Linked DNA regions of Yarrowia lipolytica. The protein of the gene in region 4 binds, or shares a complex with, the protein of the main gene of each other region. Links are inferred from orthologs where the notes say so. Each region holds a gene or a part of one and is shown on either strand. Other genes may lie near its edges. The genes, in order: YALI1_D14276g, YALI1_D28213g, YALI1_C28063g and YALI1_D10033g.

What was found.
Region 1: YALI1_D10033g (region 4) and YALI1_D14276g share a complex: the UniProt entries of both Saccharomyces cerevisiae proteins name them as parts of the RNA polymerase III (Pol III) complex. The link is inferred for Yarrowia lipolytica from reciprocal best matches to the Saccharomyces cerevisiae genes RPC31 and RPC25.
Region 2: YALI1_D10033g (region 4) and YALI1_D28213g share a complex: the UniProt entries of both Saccharomyces cerevisiae proteins name them as parts of the RNA polymerase III (Pol III) complex. The link is inferred for Yarrowia lipolytica from reciprocal best matches to the Saccharomyces cerevisiae genes RPC31 and RPC11.
Region 3: YALI1_D10033g (region 4) and YALI1_C28063g share a complex: the UniProt entries of both Saccharomyces cerevisiae proteins name them as parts of the RNA polymerase III (Pol III) complex. The link is inferred for Yarrowia lipolytica from reciprocal best matches to the Saccharomyces cerevisiae genes RPC31 and RPC10.

What each region holds. Positions count from the first base shown.
Region 1 is NC_090773.1:1,425,678-1,428,765, reverse strand, and holds YALI1_D14276g (uncharacterized protein), read right to left. Parts: upstream 1,111-3,088; coding exon 502-1,110; downstream 1-501. Other genes in the region: YALI1_D14300g (uncharacterized protein), read left to right, coding at 1-37; YALI1_D14260g (uncharacterized protein), read left to right, coding at 2,693-3,088. UniProt on the Saccharomyces cerevisiae protein: DNA-dependent RNA polymerase catalyzes the transcription of DNA into RNA using the four ribonucleoside triphosphates as substrates. Specific peripheric component of RNA polymerase III which synthesizes small RNAs, such as 5S rRNA and tRNA.
Region 2 is NC_090773.1:2,820,455-2,823,548, forward strand, and holds YALI1_D28213g (uncharacterized protein), read right to left. Parts: upstream 1,312-3,094; coding exon 1,273-1,311; intron 818-1,272; coding exon 524-817; downstream 1-523. Other genes in the region: YALI1_D28221g (uncharacterized protein), read left to right, coding at 1,632-3,094. UniProt on the Saccharomyces cerevisiae protein: DNA-dependent RNA polymerase catalyzes the transcription of DNA into RNA using the four ribonucleoside triphosphates as substrates. Component of RNA polymerase III which synthesizes small RNAs, such as 5S rRNA and tRNAs.
Region 3 is NC_090772.1:2,804,474-2,807,066, reverse strand, and holds YALI1_C28063g (uncharacterized protein), read right to left. Parts: upstream 756-2,593; coding exon 504-755; downstream 1-503. UniProt on the Saccharomyces cerevisiae protein: DNA-dependent RNA polymerases catalyze the transcription of DNA into RNA using the four ribonucleoside triphosphates as substrates.
Region 4 is NC_090773.1:1,001,680-1,004,569, reverse strand, and holds YALI1_D10033g (uncharacterized protein), read right to left. Parts: upstream 1,201-2,890; coding exon 502-1,200; downstream 1-501. Other genes in the region: YALI1_D10067g (uncharacterized protein), read left to right, coding at 1-122; YALI1_D10022g (uncharacterized protein), read right to left, coding at 1,859-2,272. UniProt on the Saccharomyces cerevisiae protein: DNA-dependent RNA polymerase catalyzes the transcription of DNA into RNA using the four ribonucleoside triphosphates as substrates. Specific peripheric component of RNA polymerase III which synthesizes small RNAs, such as 5S rRNA and tRNAs.

The DNA.
Region 1 (3,088 bases), about 420 kb from region 4:
GTTTAGCAGTACTTCTCAGTACATGCAGTACAACTAGTCTGTGAAGATAGAGGTAATAATAGATGATGTTATGATAATGGTACAAGCACTTGTACCAATGAGTAGAGAGACGCGCTTTGTGCTGTAACAGACAACGTAGACTTGTATGTAATGCTTATCCTCAATCGTTTTTGAGCGGTTGACCATCTCGTCACTCGAGGTAACTGGCCGCAAGTACATTGATAGAGGTCGATGATACGTAATTCCTGATGTTGTATAAAAATGCGATTTGTGACTTTGTCTATCTATATAAAACCCCACTGCTTCTTAGCAGTCCTATTTCATAATCAGTCCTTTTCTTTGCGTTTGCTTGTTTGTTTTTGTTTGCCTTGTGTCCATACTCCAAGGAGCACAAGAGTGTGCCCGGAATACAGAGTGCTGTCCGGAACACCTAATAATGCATATATATATCCTCCTCCAACCGTCAACCAAGATGTACCTGAAGGAACATGGTTCTGTTGATTACTCCCACCAAGACACCAGACCCATGCCTTCTCCCTGGCAACTGGCAATCAGAGAGTAAGGAGGAACACCTGGCTTCTCGGGGTCCTGCTCGTCGTTAGGAGCAGCACTTCCAGCGTAGCCCTGCTTGAGTGGAGGCAGGTCCTGGAACTTTTCTTGTTCGATTCGGAACCGGATCTTTTCGTTGGTATCCAAAAACAGCTCCTGCTCCTCGTCAGGACACCACATCCAGGCCTGTTCTCGGGCGACAAACTGCGAGTTTTCAAACAGCAGGTGTGCGGGGATAAAAATGTCGTCGAAGAACTCCATCTTCACCTTGATTCCTTCCGCGGTACAGCTGGAGATCCAGCCCTCTAGTACCTCTCCCACAAACGGCCGGAAAACCACCATTCTGAAGGTGATTTTCACAAATGCAGCACCGTCGCCGGACATGACCTGGCCTTCGCCGACAGTGATCAGGTCATAGACACAGATGCACAGACCCACTCCGTCGATGATTTTGTTAGCGTAGCAGTTGTTAATCTCGTCCACAATAGCGTCGTTGAGCGGCTTTTTGAAGCTGGTGGGATCGAGTCGAATGAGATCTGTGAAGCGCGTGAGAATGAACATTGCGATGGATGAGACCCAACTCAGAGACAATCTTGATGATAGTTGCACGGTGTAGCTGGATATTTTTTAAGGTCTGCATCGCACTGCATATCCCTAACCACATCTTCACTTTTTCTACACAACTCCCAATGTCGCTTAGTAAGAGTCGGTACCAGCAGTGCCCACGATAGTCACCCCTAATAAGGACAAACGTACAAATTCCCAAAGCGGAATAACCTCCTAGAAATACGGAGATAACCGCTCTTCTCCATTCGGACACCTTAGCACCTTAATTTCGAATATTCACACATACTGTACTGACAAAACACACAAGAAAAAAAAAAAAAAAAAAAAAAAAAAAAAAAACCCAGGCCACTCCCAAGGTAATTAAACCCAACGCAATTGGCCATGACACCCGTCGACGAGGCGGAGGATACGAGCAGCTCTAGTGCCATTTATACACTACCCTAACCCGGGCCGATATGTCGACCGACCAACAAAAAAACGTCAACCACAGCCCGACAGTAGGATCGCCCCCAAGTCGTTGAAGAGGCATGGTCACCCAGCAGTCGTATTTTAGGTGTTCTAAGCCTGTGATTGTAACGGGGATCGTACCGGTACTGTGAGACGGGCAGAAGAAGCAATTACGTAAGCTGGAGGAACGCCCGCAACCCTCACAACCGCCGCGTTGGCACTCGTATTGCACTTCCTTTCCTTAGGGGTTGCTGCTAAAAAGTGTCTCCGTCATTCCCCACAATAATTCTCCGGAAAACCTTACGGGGGTTAAGCCTAGCCCAATAGGACATGGTGCGAATGGGTGTGGTCATACCCCAGAGGTTTCGTGGGGCTACCGTCAAGATTGTGACACCTGGCGAGTTGGAAAAGTATCCCATAAAGTATGTGAATAAATTAATTCGGATTCTCCACGTCTTCGTCTTGCCGAACCCGCCAATTAAACACCGCGAATCTTGATCCGGTTCATCCCGGACGTGTCCAAACTTTGTTTGGTGAGTATTAGGTCGCATGTCATTGGCCAATGGCCCGCATTACCTAAGCTCGGTGGGCTTTCAACTGGCCGCACGCAGATTATTTCTCTCTCTCTTTTTGGTTAGACCATACAAGTCGATCTGAGTCGGTGAGTAGCAAATTGCGCGGCGGAGGACGGGGCGCTTCGAGGCACATTGACGGCAGCCATTCGTACCCACGATGTGGACGGTCTTGCCCGGTATCTCTCAGTGCAACAGGTTTTTCGTTCGGCAAAAGGAGAAGTGGGACACCCAGCAGCTTGTTTGGCTGTACGCGTGGCGAGCATGTTGGCAAGCGTGAAGGAGAGAGGTTATCACAAGTGCGTTGGCGTGACGATGACAACGGAGCCTATGCTTCGCAGCATCATTCTTATGGTCCACTCTTCTGTCGGTGCCATGGTTTGGTGGTTCTCTCGTGGTATGTTAGACAACACATTCAGTGTGACATGTGGATATGTGAGGTGTGAATGAGAGCAAGTGGTACAGACACGAGTTCAGTGAAACAAGAACCAATGCTTAAAGGTACACGCGAACCTGACCGGTGTTGCTTCTTTCACCCAGTTGCTGGGATACTCTGAATGTCAGACTGTCTTGAAAATTTCAGTCTGTCAACCGCCGATGCTCTCACAGTCTATCCCCACAACACACCCTCTGATACCACAACCACTATATACAGTCACTGCGGACCACTCTGCAGTAAATCATCCAGACAACTATTCTCTACCTACCGGAATACGCAAAACACCTCTCCACCCCACAACGCCTGCAGAAAACCCCACAACACAACTAACACAGAAATGCTTAGAGCTATCAAAAACCCCCGAGCCGTTCTCAAGTCTCGTCACTTCTCCACCTCCCCGGTGGTGGCCAAGGTCTTCGCCAACGGCCCCGTCAAGGCCCAGGAGGCCCCCTCCCACGTGGCGTCCAAGTACGCCGTCGTCGACCACGAGTACGATTGTGTTGTTGTTGGAGCC
Region 2 (3,094 bases), about 1.8 Mb from region 4:
TGTTTGTTACTGTGAAGAAGCCAGCTTTCTTGAGGTTTTGGACGGCAAACTGGGCATGGGTATTCTGGGGGCTTGACCAGAGCGTGAGCAAGGCGTTCTGAAATGACTCCAAGTCATTTGACAGAGAAATGATGATGGAGCGAACCACTGGAGCGAACCACTTGGGCAAAATGAGCGTTTAGCTCTCCCGATACGATACTGAACTTGGGTAGATCTGGCAACATCCCTACAGTATGTACAGTACGGCCAGTAACATCCGAGTGAACCTCTGTTAACGAATGAATCTCAAACGACTTCTCCTCTGCTGAAGACTTGGAGACTCTCAGGGACACAGGACAAGAAGTGAAGTGTTTGTTACCGAGCCCGGAGTTTGTTTATAATCGCAGGCTGGGCTTTCCCTTCTGTTGACACCTCCATCGATCGGTTCCAGGTCTTCAGTCACTCTCTACACTCAGACAATCAATCATAAATATATTACATGCATTCTATCCTTCCCATAACGTGTTTGGCACGTCTAAGCTCACTAGTTTTCTCTCCACTGGTGGAAACAGGCCGTACATCTGCAAAACTTGGTCATGGGCTCATCCGCAGACCGAATCTGCAACATGTAGAAGTAAGCACCCATGTTGGAACACTTGGGACACTGCGAGCCAGGGTCCTTGTCGACGTTCTCCCAGGCGTTCTCTCCACCGAGAACACTGTCCACCTTCTTCTTTTCCAGGACCTTTCGGTCATACACGATGGTGCCGTCCTGCAAGTAGTACTCGTAGGGACATGTCCGGCACTCGAACCGCATGCCGTTTCCGCTGGTCGACAGCTGAGTTAGTATATGGAGTGTCAATGGTGATTCAGCATGCTTAAGTGGAGTGTGTAACGGGATCAGCAACGAGATCAGTCACGAGATGGGGACATGGTAGATGCGGTGAAGGAGAAAAGCGGACGGTAGATGCGCACACAAATACTTTTAGACAAATCTCAACCTAGATCGAACTCGGCAACCTCTTCTCTCGGGTGTGGTCGATGACTAGCCACTTCATTGATCTGCAAAAAACCGTAAGAGAAGAGTAGAATTGCACATAACTAGTGATAAAGAAGTTTCAAATGATTTCTGACACCTCACCCTCTCTCGCCTCTCGCCCCTCGCCTTTCGCCTTTCGCCTTTCGCTTCTCGTCTCGTCTCATCTCGCCTTCATCCACGCGACCTATGATCTGGTCGTTCCTGGCCCAATCCTGACTCAGCAACCGCCCTCAATATCCCCCCGTCCTACTCACCGTCAACATGTTTGTACAAGTGGGACAAAACGTTAGCATCCTGTGTTTGTGTCGTCTGTGCTGGTGTGAAAAACCAAATAAAAAAGTCTGAAATTCAAAATATAAAAATGGTGGTGGGCGTTTCTCATGCACCTCTGAGTTTTGATCAGTGATTGTCACCACCATTACAATACAATACGGCGCACTAGAGCGACGAGACGGCGACACTTATCCAGCACCGGGGTTCGAGTTCACCAAGAGATTGTTTATCGGTTCCTTTTTAATCTGACCGTTAGAGCATCACCACTGGACGACATACATACCGCAGAGGCGACAAACCCCAGACGGCGCCCGCACCGACTAGTTGTACCATTCATCACATGAGCAGAAGAAAAGCACCAGTTTCGTATTCCGGACTGGACACCAGTGACGTCAGCGATGAGGACTTTGAGGTTGAAGACGAGGTGAGCACACCCAAGAGAAGAAAGACCACGAGTCCGAGAAAACAGACGCCGAGAAGGACGGCGTCGCCTCGAAAGGCACCGGGAACGCCGTCACCGGTGAAACGGTCGCTCCACGACAAATCGGCGCGAAAAAAGGCCAACAGAACACTACTGGATCAGTCTCTGGGACTGGTGAGCGAAGACGAAGATGAAATTGAGCTGGCTGAACGGATCATTGGAGAGAGCCGGGCTCCGATTCTCGACTCGTCCAACGACTTCCACACCGACGAACGGTCGCTGGCCAACGTGGGTGCCCTGATTGCGGCTGAAGACCGCGTTCTGTTCCTGGACTCTTCAGAGGGATACTTTGACCAACACAAGACCCGAGGACGAGGTAACGCCAACACCATGGCCAAGGCGCCTGCCATCGACCACTCCGTCTTCTTTAAGTACACAAACCAGGCCAATGAGCTGTTTCATGCCGACCAGAAGAAGATGCTGCGGCATGCTTACCGCGGAATGTTCTCGCAATGGATTTTCGAGCTTTCGGAAGGGTTTTCGTTGCTGTTTTATGGTCTGGGAAGCAAGAGGGAGTTACTGACTGACTTTGTGTGCGAAAAAGTGGACTCGGAAATCCCCATTCTTGTCATCAACGGATACAATGCGTCTGTCCAGTTCAAGTCGGTGCTCAACAGCGTGGTGGACGTTCTCTACGAGAATCATGAGGACATCTTTGCGAAAAAGGGCTTTGTGGTACGAAACAAACTGCCCAAGGATGTGGATCTCTTGGTGAAACTGGTGGTTGACACTATGCGAGATATTGAAGCTGGTTCAAAGCCGTCGTTGGTGGTCTTGTGTCACAATGTTGATGGCGAGTCGTTGCGGATCGACAAGGCGTCTACTCATCTGTCTCAGCTCATGAGTATTTCTCAAATCTGGTTTGTTGCATCTGTCGATCATATTATGGCTCCTTTGATGTGGGACTCTGCCAAGCTGGCCTCGTACAATTTTGTGTGGCATGATGTGACCACGTTTGCTCCCTACACGGTTGAAACGTCGTTTGACGATCCGCTTTTGCTTGGTAAGAAGGCTGAGGCCCAGGGTGCCAAGGGTGTCAAGTATGTACTTGAGTCGGTCACTCCGAACCATCGAAGTCTCTACAAGAACCTCATTTACTGTCAGCTGGAGGAGTTTCACAATGTGGCTGACAAGAGAAAGCTGCCTGAGGCCGAGGTGGGTGCTCTGACAGGAAGTACGTCCATTTCTGTGGATTATGACAAGGTGTTGACGGAGTGTCTTAACGAGTTGACGGTTTCTAACAAGAAGGATTTCCAGGAGAAACTCAAGGAGTTTATGGACCATAAGATGGTGGTTGCATTTGACGACAAGATGGGCATGAA
Region 3 (2,593 bases), on a different chromosome or scaffold from region 4:
TTGGAGCACTATCCATGGTCCAGAAGAAACATTATAGGTCACTCTTGCTGTCGCCACGGATGACCTACAACTTTTCGACCTTATCCACGTATCGCTTCACTGGAATTTGTTGTCTGAACGGAACTGTTGAATCTGCTGCATCAAACCAACATCCAGATCCAGTAGCTACGTTTCCATCACTTTTCATGATGCTGCCCTTCAGCCCTCAACCACGGATTCGTCCGTGGCCCATATTCTGTCCTGTGTCGATTCGTAATGTTTCATATCTCCAAATAAGCCCATCACCCCATAAACGAATCGTTGAGTCCAATCTCTTCCTGTCGATTCTTCACTGCCACCTGTGACGCTTCTCCTTCATCACACTCTCCGTGTCACGCGCAGTGTATCCCCTCTTCACTCTCTCTCTCATGACACACTGTGACCCAGCTTGCCACCATCACACCATCAAACGCTGGAGGTAGCACCCACCGCGACGTCGCCACGGCATCTATAGCACACCCGCTTTACTCACCAGTGTAGTTGGCCCGCTCCTTGTACAAAACTCGATGACCGCATTCCTTGCATCGAACTGGATCGCCTCGGATGAGAACCACCTTGGACGAACAGTTGGCACACAGGTACTTGACGGCGTACGACTTGTTGTTGGCCACTCCGGAGGCGGAGGCAGACAGGTTCTGCGAATCAAGCGAAGGAGAAAACGATTCCTTGTTCATGTTGTGTTGCAAAGTTGAAGATGGAGGCGAAAATTCCTGCATACAAAATTAAAATATTTTGACAAGGTTTGTTACTAAGCATAGACTGTGAGCGGTAGGCGTAAGCTGTGCGAGAGGTGGAGCAAAGGACAAGATTGAAGTTATTTCGCGCAGTGAGATTTATTTGCGATATCCATGCTTTTGGTCACGTAATTACTCGTTGGATTATGTAATCAAAGATATCTCGTTCACGATTGTTGATTTGGAGGTGTATATTGAATGGAAGGTTAAGATTTTGAGACGTTAATGAGAACTTAAGAAAGAGCATCAAACGAGTTTGAGAGCATTTTGTGATGAGTGGAGGATTTCATATAGGTTACGAGCTGGAAAATATTCGTTTTCGCGAGCTATTTTCAGTGAATGCGGCTGAATTCAGCGAGTTCGAGTGTTATAAAATAAAGTTTAGAATTGTGTGAAATAAAAAGGAGAGACCGTTAATAGTGTGCTTCTGATCAGTATACTTTCTGGTACAGCATCTGATCTGATATCATATCATTTCAGATAGACCATTGAGTGCTACAAGGATCATATTGGTGTTAATCGAAGAGGTAGAAAAGTTGATACGATACACTAGACGAAACTATTCGAGTTTGTGTACAACATGCGACTTTCATCGTCACCCCATGGCCACCTTCATAGCACAACGGCTAAGAAGGTGAACATGGGATGTCTGCGAAGGTAAATATGGGATGTCTGCGAAGGTGAATATTGGATATCTGAGATTTCGCAAGACTCCTTGTTTTAAAGGGGAAAGGCTAGTGCAATGTTTCGTCCTGAAGACGCTCGGGATGTTCATACGAGGACCTCAGACGCAATAGCCCCTACGCAGTGGGTCTCAAACAAGACATTTCCTTCAGCTGTCGCTACCGCAGGGCAATCAAAAGCTGCGATAAGAGCGAGCCCCCTGTCTCTCCATCTCATCTCGAACGTACAGTAGGGTAGCTGTATGTACTTCAGCTGTGCCGTTTCTGAGAAATTTACATCATTCAGCTGCGCAGAATGAGATGGATTTGAAGTGTGCTGCTGCCGACAAAAAGGGAGCGGAAGAATCACTAGTATCTTGCTGGGCTTCACGTACCGCGGGGAGCTCGACAACTGTCTGCAGCGACTCATGGCTGAGCGAGGAAAACGACAAGCCAAGCGTCAGGCTATGGAGAATGAGTTTTCGTCCAACATCAATAAGATGGCCAAGGGAGTGGAAAACCTGCGTCAGGAGGCGTCCATCATCCAGCAGATGATGTCTGGATCGGCTCCTTCACTCAACCACTCTACCTCCCATCCTCACATGGATGTTAACCCGTCTACTTATTACTCTTCCTCTGTTTCCTTGCCCATGTTCCGGGGTGATTGAAAGGAGGGTTAGGAACGTTTTGTTTGTTTGCTTGCTTGCTTGTATGTATCTATGTATATAATGTATTTGATTGTATGTTAATGGTCCGGGGCGAGGTGGGATTAGTGAAAGGGTCCATTAAAGGGTGAGCCTGAAGATGGAGTAGGAGCTTCAGCAGACTCTGCATCTTCATTCGAGGGTAAAAGGAGAGTCATATACATGAGTGGAGCAAAAGACAGTTAAGTCAGGGTAAAAATCACACCGGGTTAAGTTTTTACCGCAATGTTCCCCCCAGCAGCATTATTCCATATGTAGATCCTCAACCTCCTCTTTCTTCAGCTCTGTGAAGAGCTTCGTGACTCCAGTGTCCAAAGTTATCAAGAACCAAGGACAGTGTCGGGCAGGGTCCGGTAATGAGGTAAGGATGGGTGTAAAAGAGGTTTACTGTAATATCCCCAAAAAAAATCACCTACAGTACTGTACTTTGTAATGAGCTTTCAATGCAGTGGCT
Region 4 (2,890 bases):
GACCTCCTCCTCCTCAGGAAATGTATCGCAAGCCCCAGCTGCCTCCCAAGATTCCTCTCGGCATGACTCGAGATGAGTACTACGTAGCCGAGCCGGAGTATGATGGCTACCAGGGCTATTAAGCCAACTCATTACACACACACACACACACACACACACACACACACACACATTACACACTCAAGTGTCTCACATAACACGTGCTTTACACGTACTCATATTTGTATAGATAATCTACAGAACTTATTGTGTGGGCCGTACAGGTAGCTACGTTCTAGTTGGTTTATATACGGGTGGCTAAAGTAGACAACGCGTTGAGTATCGTAGCAATGCGTCTGTTCTAGTATAACGAGAAGCAGTGTACCAATGCTGTAGATACTGCTTTAGCTATAGATACTGCTCTCTCTCGCTACGTCGAAAGTGAAATACTCATCTTCAATTAATAATCTATAAAACAGGGGGCGTATTTTGTAGTTTTTTGGGTCTGGTTCAGTTCAGATCCTAAAAGTTGGCCTCGTCGTCATCTCCATCATCATCATCTTCATCACCGTTATCGAAGTATCCCTCAGCATTGTAATCGTTATCATCTTCGTCATCGTAGACATCATCTTCAATCTCCTCCTCCTCAGAATCAGCTGCCTCCTGGCCCAGACGAGCCTCCAGCTCCTTGTCATCCACCATGGTCAGGGCCTGCTGGGCCTTGAGACGTGCCTCCAGCTCCACAGGCGACAGATCGGCTTCGTCCGCCTGGATCAGCGAGTTGGCAAACTTGGAAATACCCGCTCGACGACGCTTAACATCCTCTCCAGCCTCCTTCTTTGCTCCCATGGCCTCGTGAAGCTCCTGGGGGAACAGCTCCAGAATATACGGATGCTCATCTATCGACCGACCGACCTTTCGCTTCTTTCTGTACCGATCCGTGTATCGTCTGATGCCGTCATCACACGCATCGTCTACCTCGATGAGTATCCGTGACGCCTTTTTCTGTCCGTTCGGCCCCGTCTTGACCTCCACTGAGCCTGTGTACAGAGGTCCGTCTCTGACTTCAGCCTGGAACTTATAAAACTGTGCAGCCACCTCTCGCTCCGATGCGCTGGGTGGATCCTGAAGAGGCACGTTGGCCGGAGGGTATAGATCTGTGGGGACCATAGGACCAGTCTCGATTCCGAGCTGGTACATGGCTGGGCGTCTGAATGACATGCTGTGGTGTGTGATTAAAGGAAGCTGTGGTGTGGTTTAGAGCGAATCAAGTGATGATCGATCGCGTTTGTATGTTGCTGACGTGGTTGATGGTGTGTTTTTTTTTCTCTCTCTCGACTTGTTTGCCCTCTTTTGACACTCCCCAAAGTCGACCTTGCCTCAGATGGAAATAATTTTAGATTGGGAAAAAAATTGGACCTCGAAATGCATGCATGATAAGTTTAATGGTGTGAGTGCACACTGGACAGAGTGGAAGTCAAGTGGAGGGATGTGGATAGAATGGGCCATGGAAGAGGGGAAAGGGAACGGGATGGATGGATGGATGTGTTCCGAGGGCCCTTTGTAGGTAACCGACACCCCGAAAACCCCTATTGTGCCTTTCTACATGCTACATTCCTGCTTAGTCAAAATCATAACATTGCCATAGTATGTACAAGTACCTACAATACGATACTCGTGCAAAATACAACCAACACGATGTCTATACAAATATATTACTGAAATGTCAAGGGTACTGTTTTTATGGTTGGTGGAAGATGGTGTTTTTGAAGAGGTCTTACCGGGTTCTCCAGCTAGTGTAAGAGAACACGTCAGGTATCTCCTTGTATAAGAGGTCGAGTCCATTCATTTCCATTAACATCGCTCATGGACTCGATATTTACTCCTTCTTGTCGAAAATGTGGGCTTCCTCCTCGGGAACCAACAAATCGGCAATCTCCTCGTCACTCTCGTTGACCAGCTCCATCTCCTCCTGCTTGTCGATGGCAGACTGGAGCACCTTCTTCTGCTTGTTGGCTCGGGATCGAGCAGCGGTTCCCCAGCCAGATCCGGATCCAGAGGCGATACTGGAGGCCACCTTCTCATCTTCAGGTTCCTCGAGCTCGCCCTTGGCTCGGGCAGCTCGCGTCTTCTCCAGCTCTTCTCGCTCCCGCTTGATCATCTGCTTGGTCTGGTAGTTCTTCACCATTCCCATGATCCGCGGTCGCAGAAGAATGTAGCCGGCCACAATGATGAGGAACCGGATGTAGTCTGTGGTCGTGTAGTTGTTGAAAAATGTGATTTGGTTGAGCATGGTGTTGTTGGGGGACAAGTCAGGATGCGATATTTCTTTCACGATGCAGAGCGTAACCTATGTACGAAATCTAGGTTTTGGCGTTGTCCGTGTTTTTTTGCGTCGGATTTATCGGATTTACCACGAGTGTCGGACGAAATGTAGTTGGGGGTGAAGTTGCAGAAAAACAGACTGCTAATGTTGTTTTCCCGTGTCTACACTATTGATTCCACTTTTGTACAGCCCGAAATCTCCATTATTCGCAGACATAGACGGTGGATTATGGCATTCTCACCGTCTTGTTATGGACCTCTCTACAGGTACAGTACTGTAAATTAGACGTGAAACACTGCTACCAGTATCTAAACATCCTAATAACTGCTCAAGGTCAAAAGACAACATCGGAGCAACTAACTGAAACAGAGGCGACACTGGCTTCCTGACTGCCAGAAAAGAAAAGAAAACCAACACACCCTCCCTCTTATCATACTACAGGTACAAATACAACGTACTCGTACCGGTACTCGCATAGCACAACTCACCCAACTCATGCACCAGTTTTTTTCATCAACGTCGCATAAATCCGATGTGGGGTAGGGTCCACTCGATGAATGATATAGACGAGGTGGTCGATACTGG